2 linked regions of the Astyanax mexicanus genome follow. Each later gene encodes a partner of the first gene's protein in a complex. Links are inferred from orthologs where the notes say so. Each region holds a gene or a part of one and is shown on either strand. Other genes may lie near its edges.

Evidence for each region.
Region 2: kat6a (region 1) and brpf1 share a complex: the UniProt entries of both Homo sapiens proteins name them as parts of the MOZ/MORF complex. The link is inferred for Astyanax mexicanus from reciprocal best matches to the Homo sapiens genes KAT6A and BRPF1.

What each region holds. Positions count from the first base shown.
Region 1 is NC_064429.1:37,473,151-37,485,959, reverse strand, and holds the start of kat6a (histone acetyltransferase KAT6A), read left to right. Parts: upstream 1-6,047; 5' UTR 6,048-6,325; coding exon 6,326-7,024; intron 7,025-12,809. UniProt on the Homo sapiens protein: Histone acetyltransferase that acetylates lysine residues in histone H3 and histone H4 (in vitro). Component of the MOZ/MORF complex which has a histone H3 acetyltransferase activity. May act as a transcriptional coactivator for RUNX1 and RUNX2.
Region 2 is NC_064419.1:13,071,023-13,083,889, forward strand, and holds the start of brpf1 (peregrin), read left to right. Parts: upstream 1-5,899; 5' UTR 5,900-6,487; intron 6,488-6,563; exon of another isoform or gene 6,564-7,052; intron 7,053-8,138; 5' UTR 8,139-8,178; coding exon 8,179-8,915; intron 8,916-12,408; coding exon 12,409-12,598; intron 12,599-12,867. UniProt on the Homo sapiens protein: Scaffold subunit of various histone acetyltransferase (HAT) complexes, such as the MOZ/MORF and HBO1 complexes, which have a histone H3 acetyltransferase activity.

The sequences.
Region 1 (12,809 bases):
ATTCTTAAGTTTCAGTTTACCTTCGGTACAACTCCAGGCATTTACAGTGTGACTGACTGACCGTACAACATCTTCTCTCACTTCACTCATGCTCAATTAGCCTCTCCCCTTTTCTAAATTAATTTTTTTTCACTGGAACTGAAAAAGAAAATAGATATCCTACCTACAAAAAGATATAGCTATGCCTTAAACATGAAATACTGTCAAATTAGCATTTTGTTAAATGCAATTGCAGATTACCACCCAAAAGGGAAATGTAAGTTTTAGGATTTCTATAAATATTTCTGAGTTACCTTATAAATTTATTTAAATTGCCTGAAACCTTTGTCCTGTGTTTTATCATCATCAAAACATGGGTAATTAAAGGAAATCTTTTTTCCTAAACTTTTCCCATTTTCTCCCCAATTTAGCACAGCCAATTACCCAACCCACTAATCAGTGATGCCCCAACACACCAGGAGGGTGAAGAATAACACATGCTTCCTCTGATACATGTGAAGTCAGCCACCGCTTCTTTTCCAGCTGCTGCTGATGCAGCATTGCCGAGCAGCATCACAGCGATAACGCTCGGAGGAAAGCACAGAGTCTCAGTTCTGATACATCAGCTCACAGACGCCCTGTGCTGCGGACATCACCCTTTAGGGAAAGAGCGCCATCTACCCACCCGGAGGGAGCAGGGCCAATTGTGCTCCCTCTGAGCGCCGGCCGCTTGATGGTAAAGATGGATATTGGTATTGGTATCTGCAATACTGGCCCTGTATTTACTTGGTATTGGATCGATAAGAAATTTTGCAGTATTGCACAGCCCTTGTACGAACCCTGTCATACACACACACACACACACACACACACACTTCTACAACTACAACTCCCCACGCTTCACTTTTCGTTTCTGAACAGGGTGTGTGAGTTTGGCGACGCTCCCTCACTCCGCCTCTCCCCCCCACCTCCACCTCCTCCCCACCAGCGCTCCTGTTTCACTGAAAGATGGCGGCCGCTCCGGAGCCTCCGCTCTCTGGCTGCGCTGCTTCGGGCTTGTTGTTGTCCGCGTTCCTCTCGGCTCCTCGGCGCGCTCTCTGCGGAGACTCGACCTCAAACCCCGGTAAGCGGCGGGGCTGATTCAGCCGGCTTTAAAACGCTCTTTTCTGTGTTTGTTTATTATTTTTATAAAGGGAGGGAAGAGGAGGAGGAGGAGGAGGGGGGAAAGGGAGAGGGTCCGTCCCGGTTTGAAACAACCCAGCCTGGGAGGGGGAGGAGCGGGGGGACGCGGGGCTGTGGAGCTCGGGGGGCTGCGGTTAGAGGGGACGATCGGTAGGGGGCGCAGCGAGAGCGGGGAAAACTCAGAGCGCTAGCCGGGGCCCGCGTCGCGCTGCCGGGCTGAGCCTCCTGCGCTGGACCGCTCTCGGGCTAGTAGCGCTAGCGGGTGTAACCTGGTTAGCTTAGCTATGTTATCTACCTTTCTTTCGCGGGGTTTGCTTATACATTTACACGGTGATTAACACTATAGATTTTCTTAAAAATCTGATTTAGCTCAGATTTAGCGATTTAAAAGCTTTTTCTCGGGAAAAATTGGAGGCCGCGCAGAGCTAGAATGTAAGCGGGGGGAAGAAGGAGGAGGAGGAGGGAGGGAGGTAACTAGCCAAGCCAAGCTAAGCTAGCTATCCAACCTATGGAAGAATCGTGATTTTATGCTTTAAAAACGAACCTTTCGCGCAGTAATATGGATAGATCTGTAGTTTAGAATGCGTAGATGTGTTTGGTAAATATATTTCGCACATATTTTGTGTAGAAATGTGCACAAAATGAGCGTAAAACGAGAGGAATCGTGCCCCGTCTCCTCGCGCTTCGCTCCTCGCATTGTGTGTGTGTCGGCAGGCCGCGGCTTTCTCAGTGGGAGATCGGCTAATGCTAAGCTAACGCTGAAAGCTAACGCTAAGCTAATGCTAACAGCCATAGGAAAACGCACGGAAAATAGAGAGCTGGTAGGCTAAGCTAAAAACTAAGCGCTTTCCTCTCTAACGTGTTTTTTTCCTTACGCATATTTTAAACCTGCTTTTGCGTTGTTGGACATTTTTATTGCGTATTTTAATTCGTTAATAATATGTACTCCTTCTTTTTTAACCTAAATACCTACATTTGTTGCTTATCTCTTATAACTTAACGTTACCTCTGTTCGGACTGCATTGTGGATTTGATATGCTAATGCTAAAGCTAATGCTAAGCTATCGAAAGAACCACGTACGAAAATAGCTAACTGAAGCTAGCCAGCTAACCTGCCTCTGTGTGTGTGTTTTCGTACGTTGTAACGGGATTTAAGCCTGTTTTGGTTTGTTTTACGTGTTTAGTCTTCGTTTTTGTTCGCAGACAGTGTATACTTCTTATTTTTAACGCAGATCAGACACGTTTTTCTCCGATTTGTTTCATTTTCCTCCCTTTTTCGGCTGCATTTTTTGGATTCGCTATGCTAAGCTAACCCAAAAGAAACTCAGGATAGCGGGAAGGTGGTTGGGTATGTAAGTTAACTATTAGTATCGTAGCTTTTCTGTGCTTTTTATATTTATAGTTTTTATCTTTAATAGCGATATTTGTATTTTATCCCATTTTGAACGTTTAAAATGCGTGTACGTTTACAATAGATTTGTTAAACACTCCTTTTTAGTGTGGCTAGCTAGCTGTTATATCTACAGTAGTGTTATTTCTGTTGTTAGTTAGCGTAGGTTAGCTCAGTGCTTGTGTTAGTGTTATGTTTTTACCTAGTTATTTCATATGTTTAAGTTTTTGACATGTTTGAAGTAAATCTGTATTATATTTCTGTGTCAAATAGGCTTAAAACGACTCGGTTTTCAAAGCTGTTAGCTGTAAACAGACTTGGATAGGTGAGCTAACCTAAGCTAGTTGTTTTGAAAGTAACTTAGTCCTAAATACTTAAGTTGTTTCCAACTAAAATCTAAAACTAAATTTAAAAACTTGTAAGGAGTGTAAACACGTGTTTTCTTCTGCTTGTTTTGTTTTGGTTGTAGCCTCTGTCAGGCATGCTCCTCTTCAATGCTTTTTGTTGATATCCCGAATTAGATCCCTTAAATCTACTGTTTCAGAGTTTTAATGGTGATATTCCTTGTATTTACAAATTTAGAATGATTTCCGTTGGTCTTTTTTATTTAGCAACTTGTTTCTTGGCTAGCCATCGCTGTGTACATCCTGTGTTTAGCTCCATTCAAAACAATAGTGCAGTTTTGAGTTTCCTCTGACTCTGAGAGTACACACACAGGCCATAAATACAGTAGAACTTGGTCAAAAAATGTGGCTTCAAAACTTATTGTGCTGTTTTTAGCAGTGGTGACTAAATGAAAAATTATAAACAAGTTTTCTTCAGTCTGCTTGGTTTTGTTTTTGTTGTAGACTCTGTCAGGCACACTTCTCTTCAGTGCTTTTTGTTGAAATCCCAAATTAGATCCTTAAATCTTGTGTTCAGGGTTTAGCCATTGCTGTTTACATTATCTGTTCAGCTTTCATTCAAAACAGTAGTGCGGTTCTGAGCTTTTTCTAAATCTGAGAGTACAAACACAGGTCATAAATACAGCAGAACTGGGTCAAAAACTTTAGGATAAACCATAATTTGTGTTTTAGTAGTGATCATAAATATATTTAGTGTGTGTATTTGTGTACTTATATGCTTGTGTCCTTTACAAAGACTATAATGCAGTAAAGCTAAGTAAATAGTTAAAGTTTAATTTGGGGAATGTGCTTTCTGTTTCGTTAAGGTTCGCAGTAAGTTTCCTTAAGAACTAAGCAGTAAACATGCACAATGACCTTTATCAATCATAGTGTACATGTTTAATTTGAATGGGATTTGTTGCTGTATTAATTGAACTCGGCTGAAGTTCCCCAAGTGGATTTAGTCTTAATTTCTGCCGTTCTGAATAAATAAACATCGGAGTCACTTTGACCAGTTTACACCTGCTGACTGCAGGAATTTTGCATATCAATAAGGATTATATCTGGGCAGATCCACATTAACAATGCTAGTTTAAACGCACGCAGAGTGAATTTAAAACAGATACGAAAATCAGATCGCTCTGACCACTTCAGGAGGAAGTCTGAGACCTATTTAAACTTAATATGTCTATACAAGGAAAGTACCACAACTAAAACACTTCCCAAACCAGTGGAAAACAGTTGTAATTACCATTCCATGAGAGATTTTCAGATTCTGCCCAAATATCTGTCAGATATCTATATCCGGCTGACCCACATGGCAACAGCTTTAGCCTCAAATAGGCTTTTTTGCCTAATTTCTGCCATTCTAAATAAATATACTGAAGTAATGTTACATTTTGTCAGTGACTGTCCCAATGAATGTGAAACAAGCAAAGCTCTATTGTTATCGTACATCCTCAGTGTTTTCTTGTTTGCTTTTGTATTTTTTTTGCAGTTCTCATTAGTGAATGTAGTGTAGGCCAAAGGAGATACAAGGTCTTGGGTGTGGAGACTAGGTTAACCTTTCTTGTATGAGTTCAGCGCAGGTCAGGTCAGTTTGTTTGCTCACCTGTCTGAGTTTACGTATCAAGGAAATGGATGAGTTTTTAATCTGTGGAGTCGCTGAGATGTTTTCCGTCAAGAAGATGGAGAGAGCTTTTTGTTTATTTTGGGGGGCTGAACTGGTGAATATTCCAGATTCTGAAGATGGAATAGCAGCTAAAGCTGTGTACTTATTACCAGGCTGAAGTGACTCAAATCTTAATTATTTGCTTTAATGTGAACAGATCTGTTTTTATTTTCTGGGCTGAGTATGGGAATGCTAAAGCTGCCAAAGTCACTTTGACCAGTTTACACCTGCTGACTACAGGACTTAATTTGGATTATCAATCAGGATTATATTTGGGTTAATCTTTATTAACAATGCTAGTGTAAACATGTGCAAAGTGAATTTAAAACAAATACAAACTTTAGGAGGTGGTCTGAGACCTTTTTAAACCTAAAGTTATAGCAGTGTAAACACACCTGCCTATACAAGACATATTACACAACCAAAACACCTCCCAAACCAGTGAAAACACTAGCGATTTGGCAGATTCTGCCCCAAACAGCTATTATATATTTCCTAAACCTTCAAAAGACTTTTGGAAACTGGAGATAACTGCTTCAGGAAGATGTCTGGCTGACCCACATGGAAACAGCCCCTTTAGCCTTTAGCTCAGATTAACATGATTTGGACTAAGTCTCAGTTTCAGCAGAGAAGAGAAGAATTTGAGTTAGTCTGACAAGTGAAGAAGTGCAGTAATAAAGTTATTGATAAGCTTAAGATAAAATAAAAAGCAGCTACTGGACTACTAAACAATAGGGGTGTTTTTAAAACTTTTAAATTGTAGTATATATTGTTTTAGTTCACAGTGAGGAGTTTCTAAACCTAATATATGTTATAAATTAAAAGCACACATTATTTAATGCTATTTCTAGAAGAATATAATTTCTCTTATTAATTTCTGTATTTTTTTTTTTATCTTTGTGTTTTATGCAGAAATCAGCAGCGGCTGAAGACCAGCTCGGCATGAAGGTGATCTCCTCCTGAGTGGACGGTTTACTGGATTTACTCCCGACCTTCTGCGAAAAAGTGTAAAGCGTGGACGGCGGTGGAAAGAAAGGATAACGGACGGATAAAGAGAGGAGAACCGCTGCGTGACGTCCACATTACCCTCTGCATTATTTTATTTTTTTGTTTTTTTTTTTTGTTAAATTTTTTTTTTCCACGGCCACAAACTGAGGAGATTATACATTTTTCGATTGGATAAAACTTCCTGATCTCATTCCTTATCCTATCTCTCGTACCTTTTGGAGTTTAAAAACATTTTCTTCGTCTTTTTTTTTTCGGGAAGACGCCGGTTGGTGTCCACCAACATATTGCAAGCTGCTTCACGTTCTTCAACGTGGAATTGTCCCGGACAAGCCCAGCCGTGATTGGGCGTTCTCTTTTAGCTGTGGTGCTACCCAGCAGTGGTAGGAGGGGGGTTGCTGGGGTAGCTAGGACCTTTTTTTGGGGGTGGGGGGGGGTAAAAATCTGGGGTAGGTGGTGGGGCTAAAAGCTAATGCTATGGTGATCAGCCCCCTCCCTCATTGCTTCTGCTCAGGCTTTGAGAGACTTTCCACACGGCCCAGGGACAAAGGGTAGTCTCTGAGGACGTCCAGGAGGAGGAGGCGCGGGCGAGGAACGGGTGGCGCCGGGGCTGAGGCCTTTGGGTGCTTCCTGAACGGTTTTCGTGCGCTTGAGCGTTCGTTTCGTTCGTTCGTTTGTTTGTTTGTTCGTCTGTGTCTCTAACCGAACGCAACCATGGTGAAGCTGGCCAATCCGCTCTACACCACCTGGATCCTCGAGGCCATCAAGAAGGTGAAGAAGCAGAAGCAGAGGCCTTCTGAGGAGAGGATCTGCAATGCCGTGAACATGTCGCACGGCCTGGACCGCAAGACGGTCTTGGAGCACCTTGAACTCAGCGTCAAAGACGGGTCCATCCTCAAGGTCTCCAATAAAGGCCTCAATTCCTACAAGGATCCAGACAATCCTGGTCGCCTCGCTCTTCCCAAGCCGCGAGGTGGAGGTGCGAGCGGCGGAGGAGGTGGAGGTGGAGGCGGTGGCGGTGGTGGTAGTGGTAGTAGTGGTGGTGGTGGAGGTGGTGGAAGTAGTAGCACCTCCGGTTCTTCCAAAAAGCCAGGCCTGGACTGGAACAAGCTGATCAAACGTGCTCTGGATGGTCTCCACGAGGCCGGAGGTTCTACCATCAAGAGCATCGAACGCTTCCTGAAGTGCCAGGCCGACGTGGCCGGCTACCTGTCGGGCAGCGGCTCCATGGGACCCGGCATCTTCCACCAGCAGCTGAGGCTGGCGCTGAAACGCGCCGTAGCCCACGGCCGAGTCGCCAAGCAGGGGCCGCTCTTCCGGCTGATCAGCCGCAGCTCCCACAGCGACGGCACCGGCTGCGTATCGCTGGAGTCGCTGCCTCCCGTTCGCCTGCTGCCGCACGAGAAGGATCGGGTAAGAAACGACAAAAGCACCAACACTTATGTAATATGTTTTATTTTATCATTTAGCATTGGTGTAGCGTAGAAATGGGTCTGATTTTGGTTTTGGCGACAAAAATGACCTTGGCTTCCAACCACTGTGTAGCTAGCATTAGCTTTAGGGTTTGCTTTATTGCGTCCAACAAATATAGCTCTGGAAAAAATTAGACCACTTAAAAATGATTAAATTTATTTTGATTTTACCAAATTGAAAACCTCTAGAACATAATCAAGAGGAAGACAGGTAATCTTTAAAAACCATCAAACCACCAAACTGAACTGCTTGAATTAATTTTTGCACCAGGAGTAAAGCAGCATAAAGTTATCCAAAAGCAGTGTGTAAGACTGGTGGAGGAGAACATGATGCCAAGATGCAATATTTGGTTATTCCACCAAATATTGTGAACTTGTTTTCTTTGCACTATTCAATGTCTGAAAGCTCTGCATCGGTTTTGTTATTTTTTTAATGCAATTTCTGCAATTTTCCAGTCATTTTCTGTAAATAAATGCTCTAAATGACTTATTATTACTAGGGAGAATAAGAATAAAACAACAATGTTCATTTTACTCAAACATAAACCTATAAATAGCAAAATCAGAGAAAAGGTGGTCTCATTTTTCCCCCAGAGCTGAATAACTTGTAGTTTTCCGCAATTCCATTGCGTCTGTGAACAGGTTGTGGTTATATCTTATATATTTATGGTTGACTGGCAGAAATGTTGTGTCCACTTTAAGTAGAGTATTTTTGAGAGCAACTAAACGCAAAATCCTATGTGTTTGCGTCCTTCTGCAAACAGCATACTGTATATATATATATATATATATATATATATATAATTACTGAACATATTAAGACTGGATCAGACTAAATCTGAACAAACTTACTGTAGAACTGTAGAAGATTCCCTTTCCCACAGGATAATCGCAGAGAATAGTGTGCTATGCCCTTAAAGAAAATATCACAATATTTCAGGTTACTTTTACGATGATAAGATTCTTGGCAATTTGGCAAAACGTTGAAAAAATAAAAATGGGAGCAAAATTAACAAAAAAATTACTTTGGAGATATTTTAACATGGAATATACATCTCTGTAAAAAATGAAGAGATCACTTCAGTTTCTGAATCAGTTTCTCTGATTTTGCTATTTATAGGTTTATGTTTGAGTAAAATGAACATTGTTGTTTTATTCTATAAACTACAGACAACATTTCTCCCAAATTACAAATAAAAATATTCTCATTTAGAGCATTTATTTACAGAAAATGAGAAATGACTGAAATAACAAAAGACCTGTACTTGAAGGATTGCAGAAGCCATTTAGCCTCAGTTCTTTTATTTATTTATTTTTGAGAGTTTTCACACCTGAAGTACTTTACCTTCTACTCAGGTGAAGCTTGTTAATGAGCTGATTAGTTGGATCAGGTGTGTTGGGTTCAGGTAAAGAGCGGTAAAGTGTGCAGGGCAGGGGATTCTCCAGATCGTGGGTGTTAAGCTTCACACCCTAAATGTGTCCTGATTGATTGATTAATTGATTTATTGATTGAATACAATTAAGGAAAGTGGAAACAGTTGTGAACAGCACTTTTAAGGCTGTTGTGTACGTGGTTCAGAAGCAGAGTAGAAGCACAACCGTTCAGAAATAGCCCACTCTTTCCTTAATGAAAGAAAGAGCTTCAGTCTAAACCACATTAGAGCGCTGGAGGCGGATGTAGCGTAGCGTTTAGCTCATATATACACACACCACCCGGCTTCTTATACCAACCAGGCTACTTTCAGTTTCTATTTCACACCAGCTTCAACTTCAGTGCTGACTTTCAGCTAATAACTCACATCAGCATCTAATACACTGTGTACAATATATGCTTGAATGAATATATTAAGCAGAAATTACTGTTTCTTTACAATTTCCTATTTCTGACTGGCAGAATTTGACAGAGCAACTTTTAAACCTCCTTTAAATGCACGGCATATGGGTTAACTAGTTAGCAGGGATGTGTTTTACAAAATAGGAGTTTCCCGTTTAGTTAATTTTAGCTTAAAGTTAAGCCTGTTCTATCAAAAAGCTTAACTATTGTTTTTGTTTTGTACAGTCCTCAAGTTTAAAATGTGTTCATGCTAAATCACACTCCATTTACAGAAAAATAAGCTACAGAACGTACATAAAAACATCAAATTTACATGTATACATCTTTTCAGTTTATCAGTTTTAGCTCCACCCAATAAAGTGATCTTTTGAGAATGTGAAACATATTTAAGTGCGTTTTCACACCTGTAGTTGTGAAGGTTTCTATGGTCTGAATCAGTTGATGAGTTTGTTTATTTGGAGCTTCAGTTTCTCCCTCTGTTTGGTTTGTTTTCACACAGGCACAAAAACCTTAAACGCATCAAAATTCGCACAAATAAACCACGCAAGCACGTCATAGTCTCCTCTGATTGGTCAGAACTGTCTAATATTGGAGTAAGAAAGTATACATAGCGAGAAGATTCTATGTTCCAGTGTGTATATCTTTTATATCTGTGCGGTGTGAAGCTGCTTTAACACAGGACGCTGAAAAATTGACATGGCACTGTGTTTTTAATATGACATGCAGCAGTTCAGATGTACACGTATTAAACGGAATTGCTCGGCTGTAAGCAGTGCACACAGCTCATACCGCACTCAGTGTGTAAACAGCATGGAGCAGCAGATACAGCGTTTGTTCATAGCTGTGGTAATTACCATTAGCTGGCTAATATATCAGATTAAACTGCGCTATATCAGGAGTTTAACTCAAATAAAAAGAGTATATTTGATAGCTGGGTCAGATTGAGACCGTTACTGTTTTCACACCTGCTCAATTGAACTGCACTAAGAGTACAAACCAATCAGAGTCCATTTTAACCAAACCAAATAGTGCTGTGCTGGTGTGAAAACGCCCTAAAAAAGGTGGTTGGAGAGGGAAATTTGTTTAAATTAAGTGTTTTTATGGAGTTAGATGTGGGACAGGTTTTGGTTATTTTTAGGGTTAGGGTTTTGGTCTAGTGATCTAGTTGAAATATCTTGAAGACAAGTGTGTTTTGGTGGAGTAATCCTGTACGATGTGCGTCAAAAATTGAGGGTTTTGGTGGAGTGATCCTGTGGGAAGAAAGTTGTTGTTGGTGAAAGTGTGTTTTGCTGAAGTAATATGAAGTGTGGAACAGAAAAGCATGATTTTGGTGTTTGGACAAAAGGAGAGATATTTGGTAAAATTTAGTTTTTTTGTGGTCTGATTGTTTGTCCTGTTCTGGTGTAAGTGGTAAAATTTTTGGTGAAATTAGGGTTTTGGTGGAGTGATCATGTACGATATGGGACATAATATTTAGGGTTTGGTGGAGTGGTCCAATACGGTGTGGGACATAAACTTAGGGTTTTGGTAGAGTCCTTTATGATGTGGGGTCGGCACTTAGTTTTGGCCACGTCATATATTTTCTAAGCCATTTTGTTGCAGGTAACAAAAAAAAAAAACCTTTTTTTGAAAATGAAGCAGGTAAACTTAAGAAGTAAGGAGAAAAGACAATAACTGAACACACTGCTCCTCACGCGGGATCCAACCCGTGTCCTCAGGGTCGCGGCCCAATACACTAACGCTGCCTCGGCTAGTGAATTGGGACATGACCAGGAAAAAACAACCTTATAAGGAGAACGAGAAAAAACAAGAACTGCCGAGAGCGACAGAGAGAGAGAGACAGGGGAGGGATGTAAACAAAAGCTCACCAGAGAAGCATTTTATTTATTTTATTAATAAAATTTTTTCATTCATTTTTTCATTATTGTTCATTACAGTTCAAACAACCTCACGAGCCAGATGTTTCACGCTTGCTGACCCTGCTGTACGATGCGGGGCATAAAAATGTGATTTTGGTGGAGTAATCCTGTACGTTATGCGTCAAAAATTGAAATTTTGGTGGAGTAATGATCCTGTGGGAAAGAAAGTTAGTTGGTGTTGGTGAAAGTGTGTTTTGTGGGGGTGATGTGATGTGAGGTGTGGGACAGAAAAGAATGATTTTGGTGGTCAGACATAAGAAGAGAGATGGTAAATTTTGTTGGGTTTTTTTGTGGTCTGGCTTGTGCGAGTTTGTGAGGGTGTTGGTTAAATTTTGGCGGAGTTGTCCTGTCATATGTGGAACAGAAAATTTATTTGGTAATATTATTATTTTTGTGGTGGTGTCCTGTTCTGGTGTAAGGGTCCTGGAGAAGCTGTGCTGTCGATATATTGAATACAGCCGTACAACGATGCGGGGCATAAAAATGTGATTTTGGTGGAGTAATCCTGTACGTTATGCGTCAAAAATTGAAATTTTGGTGGAGTAATGATCCTGTGGGAAAGAAAGTTAGTTGGTGTTGGTGAAAGTGTGTTTTGTGGGGGTGATGTGATGTGAGGTGTGGGACAGAAAAGAATGATTTTGGTGGTCAGACATAAGAAGAGAGATGGTAAATTTTGTTGGGTTTTTTTTTTGTGGTCTGGCTTGTGCGAGTTTGTGAGGGTGTTGGTTAAATTTTGGTGGAGTTGTCCTGTCATATGTGGAACAGAAAATTTATTTGGTAATATTATTATTTTTGTGGTGGTGTCCTGTTCTGGTGTAAGGGTCCTGGAGAAGCTGTGCTGTCGATATATTGAATACAGCCGTACTATGGTACTATTCTGAACAGTATAGAAGATGAAGGTGTGTAAATAACAGGTTATGAAGTGTTATGAAGTTTTGGGTGGGGTGTTCCTGTGTGGTGGGCGGTGGTGGCGATGGTGCATGATGGGCGGTGGTGGTTTAGGGGGATGTGGAGGGGAGCGCTGTGGTTGGTGGGTGGCTGCCAGGCCTGTTTTCCAGTCTCCGCCTGCAGCTTTAAGCACTGGAGGGACTGGGAATGTGTGAGGGACGGGAAGAGAGGGAAGAGTGGAGAGAGAGAGGAAGAGGGACGGATGGAGGGAGAGAGAGGGGGAGGAGTCACGTGACTCCTCACATCCTGCTGAAGCTGGTCACCAGCTGCAGGGCTGCTCACTGTCTGAGAACGAGAGAGACAGTGTACGAGCTACAAAGGGGTGATGAAAAGGTGTGTGTGTGTGTGTGTGTGTGTGTGTCATTGAGACAAAGCTTCGTTCAGCATATGGTGCTTGTAGGACATACAAGGTTTCACATGTACGTGCGTTTTAGCGAAGCGCCAATGTGTTAGTTCAGGGCCAATATCTGCTATTACACGTTTATATCTACCAAAATACATATTACTAATTTATAACACCCCTGTATAACTTAGTAATAAACTATAAACTAATGTAACATTTATTAACCTTACATACCTTTAGCTTTCATCCAGCTGCATCCAAATAATACCATGAGGTTTCTCTACTGTCTTGCTTTGCCTCGCTCTACCTCACTACCTCGCATTACCTTGCTGTTCTGCTCTGCATTGCCTTGCTTTACCTCACTTTACAGCACTCTACCTCACTTTGCCTCACTCTACCCTGCTGCCTCACTTTGCCACACTCTGTTCTGCCTCACTGTACCTCGCTTTGCCTCACTCTATGCTAACTCGCTTTTCCTTGTTATTCCCTGCTTTGCCTCGCTCTACTCTGTTCTGCCTCACTCTACCTCACTTTGCCTCACTCTACCCTGCTGTACCTCACACTACCCTGGTTGTACCTCGCTTTGCCTCACTGTACTTAACTATCTTGCTTTGCCTTGCTTTTCCTCACTTTGCCTCACTCTACTCTGCTCTGCCTCACTTTGCCACACTCTGTTCTGCCT
Region 2 (12,867 bases), on another chromosome or scaffold:
GCTTAGTTTTTCGGTATTAAAAGGGCGTTGCGCAAATTTCACCCAAACAGTAAAAGCAAGGGTGTGCGTCACTCTCTGTGGTCGTACTGTCCTGATTATGTAAGTATCTGCTGGCTACCATCCTCCGTTCAGAAGTTATTAGAGCCGAAATGTCGAATATCAAAAATGAAACTAACTTTACCGTGGTAAAGAAATATGGGTCATGCCGTTTTTGCGTGGATTACAGAAACTAAATGCGGTCACTAAGCTGGATTCATACCCATTTCCGCATATTGACGACTCTTTGGAACAACTATCTGGGTCCGCATGGTTTAGTACACTCGATTTGCGTAGTGGATATTGGCAAATTCCGTTAGCGGAGTCGGACGAAAAAACTGCTTTAACGTTTAAGACAGAACTATGGCAGTTTCGCGTTCTGCCGTTCGGGCTTTGCAACACGGCGGCAACATTCAAGCGTTTGATGGAGCGCGTATTAGAGGACATCCCCAAGTCCACCTGCGTAGTGTACCTGGATGATTTGTTGGTCCACGCATTGAGCTCTGGCAAATTTGGAGCTAGTATTGGGTCTAATTATTGCGGCTAATTTGAAGCTGAACCCGGTGAAGTGTAATTTACTGCAGAACAAAGTGAACTACTTAGTGCACGTAGTGAGCGAGGTGGGGATTGCGTTGGACCTGGAGAAAACTAAAGCTGTACTAGATTGGCCAACGGCGTGTAATTTGAAGACGTTACGTGGCTTTTTGGGGCCAGCGTCATACTATTGTGAGGATATTTGCCGATATTGCTGCGCCGCTGCATCAGCTGACGAAGGGCGGGACTAAATTCAAGTGGTCGAGTGAAGCTGATCATGCTTTTGGGCTGCTAAAGAAGCGCTTGTGTAAAACGTCAATTCTGGCGTACCCTAGACTGAACAAACAGTTTGTGGTCGATACGGATGCGAGCGACCACGGCATTGGGGCAGTCCTGTCATAAATTTACGACGGGGCTAAACGCGTAATCTCGTATTTTAGCAGGCGTTTGGATAAAGCGGAGTGGAACTACTGCGTTACACGCAGAGAGTTGCAAGCGGCTGTGGCTGGTCTAGAACAGCACTGGACTGTTGCTCAATTTTTGCAAGTCATTCGGAAATCAAGGTGCCAGAGTCTGGAGGAAAACTGGGGAGAAAGAAATGCCAAAATGCCTGAAGTCCAGTGTCAAGTACCCACAGTCAGGGATGGTCTGGGGTGCCATGTCAGCTGCTGGTGTTGGTCCACTGTGTTTTATCAAGGGCAGGGTCAATGCAGCTAGCTATCAGGAGATTTTGGAGCACTTCATGCTTCCATCTGCTGAAAAGCTTTATGGAGATGAAGATTTCATTTTTCACCACGACCTGGCACCTGCTCACAGTGCCAAAACCACTGGGAAATGGTTTACTGACCATGGTATTACTGTGCTCAATTGGCCTGCCAACTCTCCTGACCTGAAGCCCATAGAGAATCTGTGGGCTATTGTGAAGAGAAAGTTGAGAGACGGAAGACCCGACACTCTGGATGAGCTTAAGGCCGCTATCGAAGCATCCTGGGCCTCCATAACACCTCAGCAGTGCCACAGGCTGATTGCCTCCATGCCACACCGCATTGAAGCAGTCATTTCTGCAAAAGGATTTAGACCAAGTATTGAGTGCATAACTGAACATAATTATTTGAACGTTGACTTTTTTTTGTATTAAAAACACTTTTCATAATTAGTTGGATGAAATATGCACATTTTTTGAGATAGGGATTTATGTTTTTTTCTTTACTTTTTTTGCCAAAATCATCAATATTAAAACAATAAAAGTCTTGAACTACTTCAGTTGTGTGTAATGAATCTAAAATATATGAAAGTCTAATGTTTATCAGTACATTACAGAAAATAATGAACTTTATCACAATATGCAAATATTTTGAGAAGGACCTGTAGTTGCACCCCTGATACAGGATATAGCACTGAATCACAACACAAGTTAAAAATTATAACGATCTAGACCTTGGCCTGACAAAATACTGAATACGTACTGAATTCTAATTAAATACACCTAGCTGAGGGTTTCACATACTTTTTTCACCCTGCACTGTGAATATTAACAAGTTGTGTTCAATAAAACCATGCAAACATATATTTTGTGTGGTGTTAGTTTAAGCAGACTGTGTTTGTTTATTGTTGTGACGTAGATGAAGATCAGAACTCTTTAGTAATCCCCAAAGGATTCACATACTTTTTCTTGCAGCTATATATATATATATATATATATATAACTATATATGCACGCCACAACCAGAGTCGCCTGAGGTATGCAAAAGCACAGCTTTTGGGTCAGGCGACTCTGTTTGTGGCGTGTTTGCAGAAATGGCTTCTTTCGCATCACTCTCCCATACAGCTTCTCCTTGTGCAAAGTGCGCTGTATTGTTGACCGATGCACAGTGACACCATCTGCAGCAAGATGATGCTGCAGCTCTTTGGAGGTGGTCTGTGGATTGTCCTTGACTGTTCTCACCATTCTTCTTCTCTGCCTTTCTGATATTTTTCTTGACCTGCCACTTCTGGGCTTAACAAGAACTGCCCCTGTGTCCCTGTCTTTCCTTACTATGTTCCTCACAGTGGAAACTTCCCCTGAACAATTATGTTGATGAGCCCATGATGCCCCTCTTCAGAGGAGATTCAAATAGGAGAACAACTTGCAATTGGCCACCTTACACCTTACAACTTACACTTGGCTATGAAGTTCAAAGCTCAATGAGGTTACCAAACCAATTTTGTGCTTCAGTATGTCAGTAAAAAGTAGTTAGGAGTATTCAATAAAATGATAAGGGTGCCCATACTTTTGCACCTGTCACATTAATGCATATTGCACTTTTTTTTGGCAGAAATAATGAAAGAAATTATTTATGTGGGCCATTCTACTGAATGGGTGCCATTTGCTTGTTGTAATTCTTCCAAATTAAACATTTTTTCTCATCTTTTTTTAACTCTGAATCTAATAACACATGTAATAAACTATTCAAAACATGTACTGGTCAATCTCAGACAGTTTTACTTAATTATTTTGGTTTCTAATTCAAAAATGGTTACAAAACACATGTGACGTTTAAAAATCATTCTTAAAAGCAAGTGCACTAATAAAATACTTTTCCCTCAAAGAGTTTTTTTTTTAAAGAAATGGTTAACTGCATGTTCAAATAACATATTTATGGAATGAAAGGACTGAAAGTAACAGGACTGAGTCCTGCATAGCATAGAATTAGCAAAAACATGAAAATAGCTAAGTGGTGGCTATGCTAATAACATGAGGACACTGAACACATTCTAGTGATTTCCCAAAATTTGTATTTTAAAAATAAACAAATACTATCTAAGAATGAATTTAGGTAACAGGACAGAGTGCTGAGATCGACCTCACGTTTTACTGTAACAGGACTAAGTAATAACCCAGGGACACAACTAAAATGTGTATTTTAAGTTAAATATTATGGATTTATTACGCAAAAAAATATTTGTACAACATATATAGGATTTGGAGTCACACAACAATGCGAAAAATACATCTCTGAAGGATTTTAATAATTAGATTTGATGGTGAAGTTCATAGTTAGAGAGTGGGGACGTGTAACTAATGCTATTCTTTTAGTGTTCTATTTTTTTATTAATGTTTTTAATTACCTCATTAGACAAATGTACAAGACGCTATGCTTAATTATAAAATGTATTTTAAAGTTATTTTGTGTGCACATTTATACATTTATACCTGGGGACAGAAATGGCACCTATTCAGTGGAATTGCCCATAATAATAAAAAAATAGAGATTAGTTATGCAACATGAAATGTTAAATTAATTTATTGATGCAGTGTATAAATAAAATAAATACACGGAAAAAGCTTGACTAAATAAACTGAACAAAAGGTTCAGATTTGTATACAGAAGAAATGTGTTAAAAGAATATTATTTATTTATACACTGAATTTGTGATTATTGGCATTAGTTTATGTTGCATATAAATGAGTTGTGTTTTTATATTCTTATTCTCTTTTACATTTTCTATTTTATTTAGTAATTATTTTTATTTTTATTTTAGCAGTTCTGGTTCTCTATAGTGTATAAAGACCAGGGACACACAACCGTAATTAAATTCTGACCAGTACAAATAAAAAGAGCAGCGGCTACATTCAGCCAAAGGGATCACAGAAAAGAGAGAACAACGGGTCTGTTGCAGGACCAGAGCTGTTTACTGAGAGTCTCACCGCTTTATTTCCCCGTTTTATCCTTAAATCACTGTCACACTATGTCCTCTATGAACAGGTGTGAATGGACCCAAAAGCTAAAACCTTTAAATTAAAAATAGTAATTAGAAACTTATTCTGGATATTTCTTCAATTTTAGAAAGTATTATAATTCATTTTACTAAAAAATGTAAAGAAAGCGTAGCGTTATTTCCTTTTTTCTACAGTAAACAAGCTGGCTTTACACTGTAAAGATGCTGCATCTCTGCTACTGTGATCTGATTGGTTGATAATCTGATGCTGGAGTTACACAAACTTAAAGTAAGGCCTACAGTACTGAAACATTTGATATAGTTCTGTGTTTCAGTATTAAATTGATCAGACATTTATAAACCTTTTCCATCAGTTGTTCCACATAAACCCATTTATTCTCCTCTCTAGAGATTCTCTGGTTTGGCATTGCTGGTTTTAATGTGCATTTAGTTCTGGTATGTTCTCTTGATAAACGTGTTTTCTAAATAATAATTTGTTTATGCAAAAAAAAAAAAAAAATCTGAAAAGACTGGAGGCTAAACTTTTCAGAGATTTACCTGTTCAGTTATTCCGGCTTTACTATATCACCTGAGCAATTTTCCTCTTTACCTTTAATGGGGTGCATCCCTATTTAGTATAAATAAAATGTAACAAATCAGACTTATTGTGTGTATATATATAAAATCATTTTTGTACCTTGTAACACAAATCTGATGTTTTAAACCAAATTGCAAAATGCAAAAATTGAAAAATCAGCAAGTAAATGGTTCATTTTTTCATTTTTCCTAAAATAGTGAGGGGCAGAGATGAAAAACTAAAATTGAAAAATGGATAAATTTTTTTTTCTCTTGTACACTGCACAACATAAAAAAAGAATTAATCTATTTCTACATCCAATTTTCAGGTTTTTTTTTTTTTTTTTTTGCATTTAACCTCAAACTGTCTGGAAATTTAATAAAAAAAAGTAACACTGACCAACAAAACAAAACCATTATTTCTTTTTTTTTTACATGGTACAGTGTACAAGAGATTTTTTATCAATTTTTCTCATTTTATTTTTTTTTTCTTCTCTGTCCCTCACAATCAGAATTTCAGGAAAAAATTAAATGAATCTTTTAGATTTTTCAGATTTTTGCATTTTGCAAGTTGAATTATATCATCAGGTTTGTATTACAAAATGTCCAAAAATGGACAAATCTGAAAAGAAGATTCAACTTTTCATTTTTCTTGAAATTCTGTTTGCGAAAGGATAAAATGAAACACTAGATAATTTAAAAATTGGAAGAAAACCTATTTATTCTTCACTATCACTATACTAATGCCCAAATTTCTATTTTCGAATTTAGCTTGATATGGTCAGAAAATGAAACTGCTAAACCAACTAGGGTAAGATTTTGCAACAAAAATTAAATACATTTTTTTATTTGTCATTTTATTTAAAAGGAATTCCCCACCCTGTATGTTTCCACTTTTACACATTAAATACATTTTCCCCACAATAAATACAGGAATATTAAATCTCTCCGACAGACTGGGAGAGACCCGTAACTAACCGCTTACTGTGAAATGTATCCACTGATTCGCGAAAAGGTTCAAAACAGGCTCAGGAAGGAAGTAGCTAACTAGCTAGCTAACCCGAGCTAAGCTAAGCTAACTAACTAACCAACATACATAGGCGAGTTTTAGCCTGCGCGAGTTTCCGGCAGTGCAGGCTTTATTTATCTAATAAATTTAAAGTTCACTGTTTAGATATATAACGTTACATATTTTTAATGAAAGCAACAACTAGAGGTGGGTAACCCAGGTCCAAAAAGTAAAAATCCACCCCAGGCTCTGCCGCAGCTTAGCCGCCCAGGCCGTTGGTACAAAACCCTGGGGTGGATTTTTATTTTATGGACCTGGGTTACTCACCTCCTCACTCTAGTCGTTGGCGGCCACAATAATTACTGGCTTGTCATGTGAAAATGGCGAATGTGCGGCCACGCGCCTGTGGGATTCAACTGTAGCCCCTTTTGTTCGCTTCAGTTCCTGTAGCTTTTATTCTGTTTTCAGGCTGATTTACGGGGGATTTCATACGTTTTAACCCGCTGTGATTAAAGCTGTGTCGGCTCAGATTCAGGGATATTTTCTGTGTGAATCTCGCTGGTTTTGGAGCGTCTCCGCCGGATCTTGAGCTGGATATTGTGCTGCTGTTGACAAGAGAAGGCAGGAGGAGGAGTGAGTGTTTCTAACAGTTCCTTCTGTTCTGGGTGGGAGAATTACTGCCTTTTACTGGATACAGAGACCAGTTTAGGGGTCTCTTTAGCTGAACTCGCTCACCATACAGCTCTAAAACTGCTTATTTTCAGATTTAGCTGGTTAAGATGCAGACAGGTAGCTAGTGCACTAGCTGGGCTAGCCTCCCTGCTGCTCGTTCACTGCAGTGAGTGAGGGAGCTGCTGGTGGAGCTGTAGAAGTAAATACATTACCTATGGTTACTGTAACCACGGGTTATGGAACACTGAGAGGACTAATCTATTTTAAAGCAGCAAATTAACAAAACAGGCATTTTAAACCTATTTTTTGCTGCTTAGTGACTGTGGCAGTGAGTAGGCAGTTCTCTGTTAGAGGAGCCTGAGGGAGGAGAGCCACTGGAGGGAAACATTGAAGCTACAGAGATGCTCTGAACTTATAGCTAACCAGGCTAATCACAAACTGTGGAAACACATTTCCCGCCACGCGGAAAAAAGCGAGGGTCCTCCACTAAGTTACAATTGCGATATTAAGTCATAATTATGAGATGGTAAGTCACGATTACAAGATAGTAAGTCATACTTCTGAGTTAAATCTGGGGGTATGAAATTAGTGGTATGAAAAAGTATGGGCACACCTGATCATTTTTTATGATTTTCCTGTATAGGTCAGTAGTTTGTTAGGATCAGCAATTTCAGTTAAATATATTCTATAGCAGACGAACACATTGATATTTGGGAAGTGGGTTTATAGAATTTACAGAAAGCGTGTAATAATTCTTTAAACAAAATTAGACGTGCATAAATTTGGGCACCCTTGTCATTTTATTGATTTGAATCAATAAAGGTTAAGGTGAACAATTGCAAGTTTTTCTTCTGCATCTTCTCTGAAGCGTGACAACATGGGAGCTTTAGAACAACTCTCAAATGATTGTTCAACATCATGGTTTAGGGGAAGAGTACAAAAAGAATACAAAAATTTCCACTGTGAGGAACATGGAGAGGAAATGGAAGACCACAGGCACAGTTCCAGTTAAGGCCTAAAGTGGCAGGCAGTTAAAAAATCTCAGATAAGCAGAGGAGAGGGATGGGGAGAACAGTCAAACTCAACCCACAGACCATCTCTAAAGAGCTGCATCATCCTCTTGCTGCAGATGGAGTCACTATGTCTTGTTCAACTATTCAGCACACTTTGCACAAGTAGAGGCTGTATGGGATAATAATGCAGGAGAAGCCTTTTCTGAGCACACGCCACAAACAGAGTCGCTTGAGGTATGCTGAAGCACATTTGGACAAGCCAGCTACATTTTTGAAATAAGGTGCTGTGGACTGATGAAACTAAAATTGAGTTGTTTGGGCATAAACAGCCTTCTTGCACACTTTATTTCACTTCTCAAATTTCACTGTTTGTCTGCTATATGATGAATTTAACTGAAGTTGCTGATCTGAACAACCATTGATTTATAAAGGAAAATCACAAAAATATCAAGGGTGCCCAAACTTTTCATACCACTGTATCTTATTTATGAGGTATAATTGTGACTTAGCATCTCGTAATTATGACTTGGTGGAGGACTCTGAACAGTACATAGTGCACTCTTTTAATTCCATTTTTATTTTCTTTCCTTTTTTACCAGATGTAAGCTGGACCTCTTCTCTGCAGGGTCTGCGGACAGCATGGGGCTGGACTTCGACGTGAAAACATTCTGCCACAACCTACGGGCCACCAAACCGCCCTACGAGTGCCCTATTGAAACTTGCCGCAAGGTCTACAAGAGCTACAGCGGCATCGAGTACCACCTGTACCACTATGACCATGACAACCCACCTCCCATCCAGAGCACACCCCAGAAGAAGCGTAAGGGTCGCCCGCCGCGGGTCTCCCTCTCTGGCTCGGTTGACGGGGCAGACTCCAGCGGTGGGCCTGGACTGCCCGGGCAAAGTGGAACGCCTGGCAGTCCGGCGGAGCACTCTGAACACTCCCATTCTCCTGAAAGGGAGACTATGACTTATGCCCAAGCTCAGCGCATGGTGGAGCTTGAGATCGGCGGCAAAGTGCACCGGATCAGCATTTTCGAGGACCTGGACGTTGTGTCGGAGGAAGACAGCGATGCTGAGGATGCACCTGCCTCTGGTGCAGGAGGCTCCACTGCTTGTAATGGGGGTGATGGGGGCGGGACTGATGGCGGGGGTAACGGGAAGGACAGGCCAGACACCCCTGGTGCAGCCAATGGGGGAAAGGGGACTGGGGCCACACCCAAATCCGGTAAACACAAGAGTAAAGAGAAGAAAAAGGAGGGTTCGCATCATCATGGTAACATGGCTGGCCCGGCTGTGAAGTTGCCGGAGGCTGTGTTCCGAGAGCTGGATCAGGAGAGACCTGATGCACCACCACGGACGCTGTCTTATTACAGGTAAGCATTTAGGCATCTTCTGCTCATATATTCTGCGTTAAAGTTATGCTTTATCAAGAATCAAATTTACACTGAGTGTAGTCATTTAGCCAGGATATGACTTGGTGTCCGTATTTCTTGCTTCTTTAATTTGTTGCTTAATTTAAAAAAATTAAATGCGAAAATATAGTGTTTCTTTCAAAATCTTCATCTAATGAACATATGTATCTGTAAACAAAATCCTTGATAGTGGTTTCTAATGGTTCAGTGTAGAGGAACTAATGATATCACTTTATTTGCATGGTTCATTAAAGATGCCTTGTAGATGCTCACTTATTATTTAAATTTACATTTAACTAAAAATTTGTTCCATGCAACTGACCCTTCAGCTGAATGAAAATGTTTCTCTATGGACTATACACCTAACTCTAACGCTCAACCCTAACTCTAATCTTAAATCAACTCAAAAAATTTAACCCCAAAAATAACCTAAACTTAATCCTAAACCTAAACCTAAAATAGTAAGGTTTTGGGTACAGGTTTAGGGTTACATTAAATAGAGAATCATTTGTTTTACTTGCAATTAATAGATATATTGATGCGTCTATGAAGCATCAAAAATGGACGCTCCAAGTAAAGTGTTACAGTGAAACCAAATGATTTGTATTTAATGGAAACCAAGGACTGCAACACTCTGCATGTACACATCCACCACTGTAGTTTAAAAAATTATTCTCAGAAAAACTCATGCAAAAATAAATAATATAGTATGAACCTTCTAAACTTCAATGGAATTCAGTGTAAAAGGACTGAAATTCATGTCATTTTGGAGCATTTTTACAAAAAGTAAAAAAAAAAAATGAATGTACAATAGTTAGGGGTGGGAGTTTATATTAATTAGATATGGAATGGAATTAATGGAATCATGGAATGGAATTAATCTGCGACTTTCAAAATAGGAAAATGGAGATCCTTTACATATAGAAGCTGCAGAGTGAATCTCAGTAGACAGACTGGTATATTTGCTTCTGTCAGAAACCTTTAAAGAACTTTTTTTTATATAACAGAGATTTTCAAATTTTACAATTTTTCTTATATGTAACCAAAATATAAATAGGGTTAGGGTTGTCACAATACCAAAATTTTGACTTCGATACCGATACCAACTGTAGTATCACGATTCTCGATACCAAAACGATACTTGGAAGAAAAAAAACAATAAAAATATCTGAACATAAAATGTTTATTTTTGACTGAACTGGATTGAACACTGAACAATCGGTGCAAACGTTTTTATTCTAAAATGAAACATTTGAACAAAAAAACAAGTTTCGTTATTATAACCTTAACTATAACATAATTATCTAAACACTTCCTAAAAACTAAAACTAGAACCAGAGGTAATGGTAGCCTGACTATGTGAACCTGACGGGCGGGCAGAAGTTAAGTTCTGAATAAGGAAAATAAAGAGACAGAAGAACGTTACAATGTTATGTTCATTTTAACACTGACTGCTCCGTTTTATTAATCAACCGTTTACCGTTTTTAATAAGCCCATGTTCAGTGTAACGATCAAGCAGGCTATGTGCCTGACCACAGATTTGCGATGGAAACGCGAAAACGTGAACATCCTGGCTGTTTTCGGGCTGTTTGAATGAGCGAAATATGATCAGAATTATGTTAAATAACACTGTAACATAGAAGCATAGAACTATTATTTAATTAAAATGATTTTTAAGAACAGCTAAACACAGTGCTGCAGGTCAAACGCGGAGGCGTTCACGTGCGAGAGAGACAGAGAGAGACACAGAGAGAGAGACACAGAGAGAGAGACACAGCAAGAGTGAGAGAGAGAGATTTGCGTGTTCTGATGTGAACTACTCACAGGTAAAGATTCTCTTTTATTTCCTCGTGCTCATATTCTAGTCCCACACATAACTCTGCAGCTCCCTCAGTGTTTTCTGTCGTATTTTGCGGCTAGCGCGAGCGCTTACAACTAACACCGCGGGCCGTGAGGTGCCGCCACGCTTGTGCCGAATCCGCTACTGAATCCGACTCCCGCTTCGCGGACAGAATCGGCACAACACCCCCCGCTGTGCAACTGCGGGAGTGAAAACAGTGCTTATAAATAAAGTAGTTTAGTTTCACTTTCAGTTTTCGTTATTTTATTTAAAAATAAAAATATAAATAAAAAACAGATGCCTGCATCTCAGACTATTTTCTGGAGCCCGAACCCGACCCGGCCCGAGGAATGTGGTGGGAAATCTCGGCCCGAACGTGCCTCGGGTCAGTTCGGGTTCGGGCAGAGAATCTAAGCTCTACTCCTCTGCACTGGATAGACTTATAACACCGTTTACAAACTGGGTTTGTGGTGTTGGTCGGATGCCCTTCTTCATCAGCGATGTAAGCAAAATTTGCCCACACTTCACTCCTCGCGCCCGTTTTGTCCAAGTCGCGGACGAGAGACATCTGTTATTTTAGCTGTCGCCATTCTACACTCGCTGCTGCTCTGCTGGCTTGCGCGTGCGTGTGTCGCTCTCAACCGAGTCAAATGAATCGATTCACACGTGAATCGATTCATTTGTTCAGAACACTAAGTTTATCTGAATCCTGCCACTCCGACTGCTGCGGTGTGAATCAGTTTTCTTATGAACTGAATCAAATCGCGCCTACTAATTTGACTCATTTGAAGCTAGTGACTGGGCTATGTACAGTATCGAAAGCATCGAACGCTAAAGAACCGAATCGTTTGTGATGACGTAGTATCGAAAAAGAATCGAACCTTCGGTACACCGTGCAACTCTAGGTTATATATAAAAGCTGCTTACTGTACGTTAAAAAAAATTTATATAGTTGAAATGAAAATGTAAAGAAAACAATAGCTTGCACATAACTTTAAAGAGGCACTAAACCCTAAACTATATTTTGTAATAATAGCTGAAATGTGTTCCTTTGAAGTAATAAAACATACCAGTGCTGCATAATTTTTTTATAAACCTTTCCTAACCTTTAAAAAACACTTTTTTTAAAAGCACACTCACAGGTTCAATTGTGCTATAGGTCAGGGGGATGTTTCTGTGTCCTTTGGTACGTGGACACTCAATCAATAATCCTGCCTCGTGGTGATATCTAACTTCTCAATGATGTCTCACCGCTATCAGAGGCTTACTGCTCAGCCCAATCAGCTCTCCCTCTTGTCTGCCCCTAAATGCATACAGCACCCTGTGCCCCTCTCACATTACCCTTCTTATTTTATAACATTTTTCAAAATTCAGTATCAAGTCAGCTAAAATCAGGAGGTTTATTTGCCCTTTGAATGGTGCTGTCAGTTTACAAATAAAGAAAACTGAAATTATGTAAGAACTTAAAAATCGCAATTGTAATCGAGAATCGCTCATTTATTTATTAAGATTATTATTTTATATTTTAGAAAGCTAAACCCTAACTAAACTACATGTTTTTTTTTTTATTGAACCTAAATGTCTTTTTTGCCTCCCCCACATTTACACTACAGGTACATAGATAAGTCTGTGGAGGAGCTGGATGAAGAGGTGGAGTATGACATAGATGAGGAAGACTATATCTGGCTTGACATCATGAATGACAAAAGGCGCATTGATGGAGTAACGCCGATCCCCCAGGAGGTCTTTGAGTACCTGATGGATCGTCTGGAGAAGGAGTCCTACTTTGAAAGTCACAACAAGGTTTGACTGCACTCTTCAGTTTCTACTCAGGGTTGATCTGAATTTGAATCATTAAATGAAAAAAATAAGATGGTTCTGACCCGACCCTGTTGCCTTTTGTTGATTGTTAGCATGGCTGGTGATGATCCTTAAGTTTCTCTCTTCCAGTTGAAACATATCTGTAGCTGTAAACACCTCTGCTGACTTCCTCTGAGGGCATGTAAACATCTCTCTTTGCTTCCCCATCTTCCACCAGCTGTGCTTATGACGCAAATACGTCTGTTAAACAA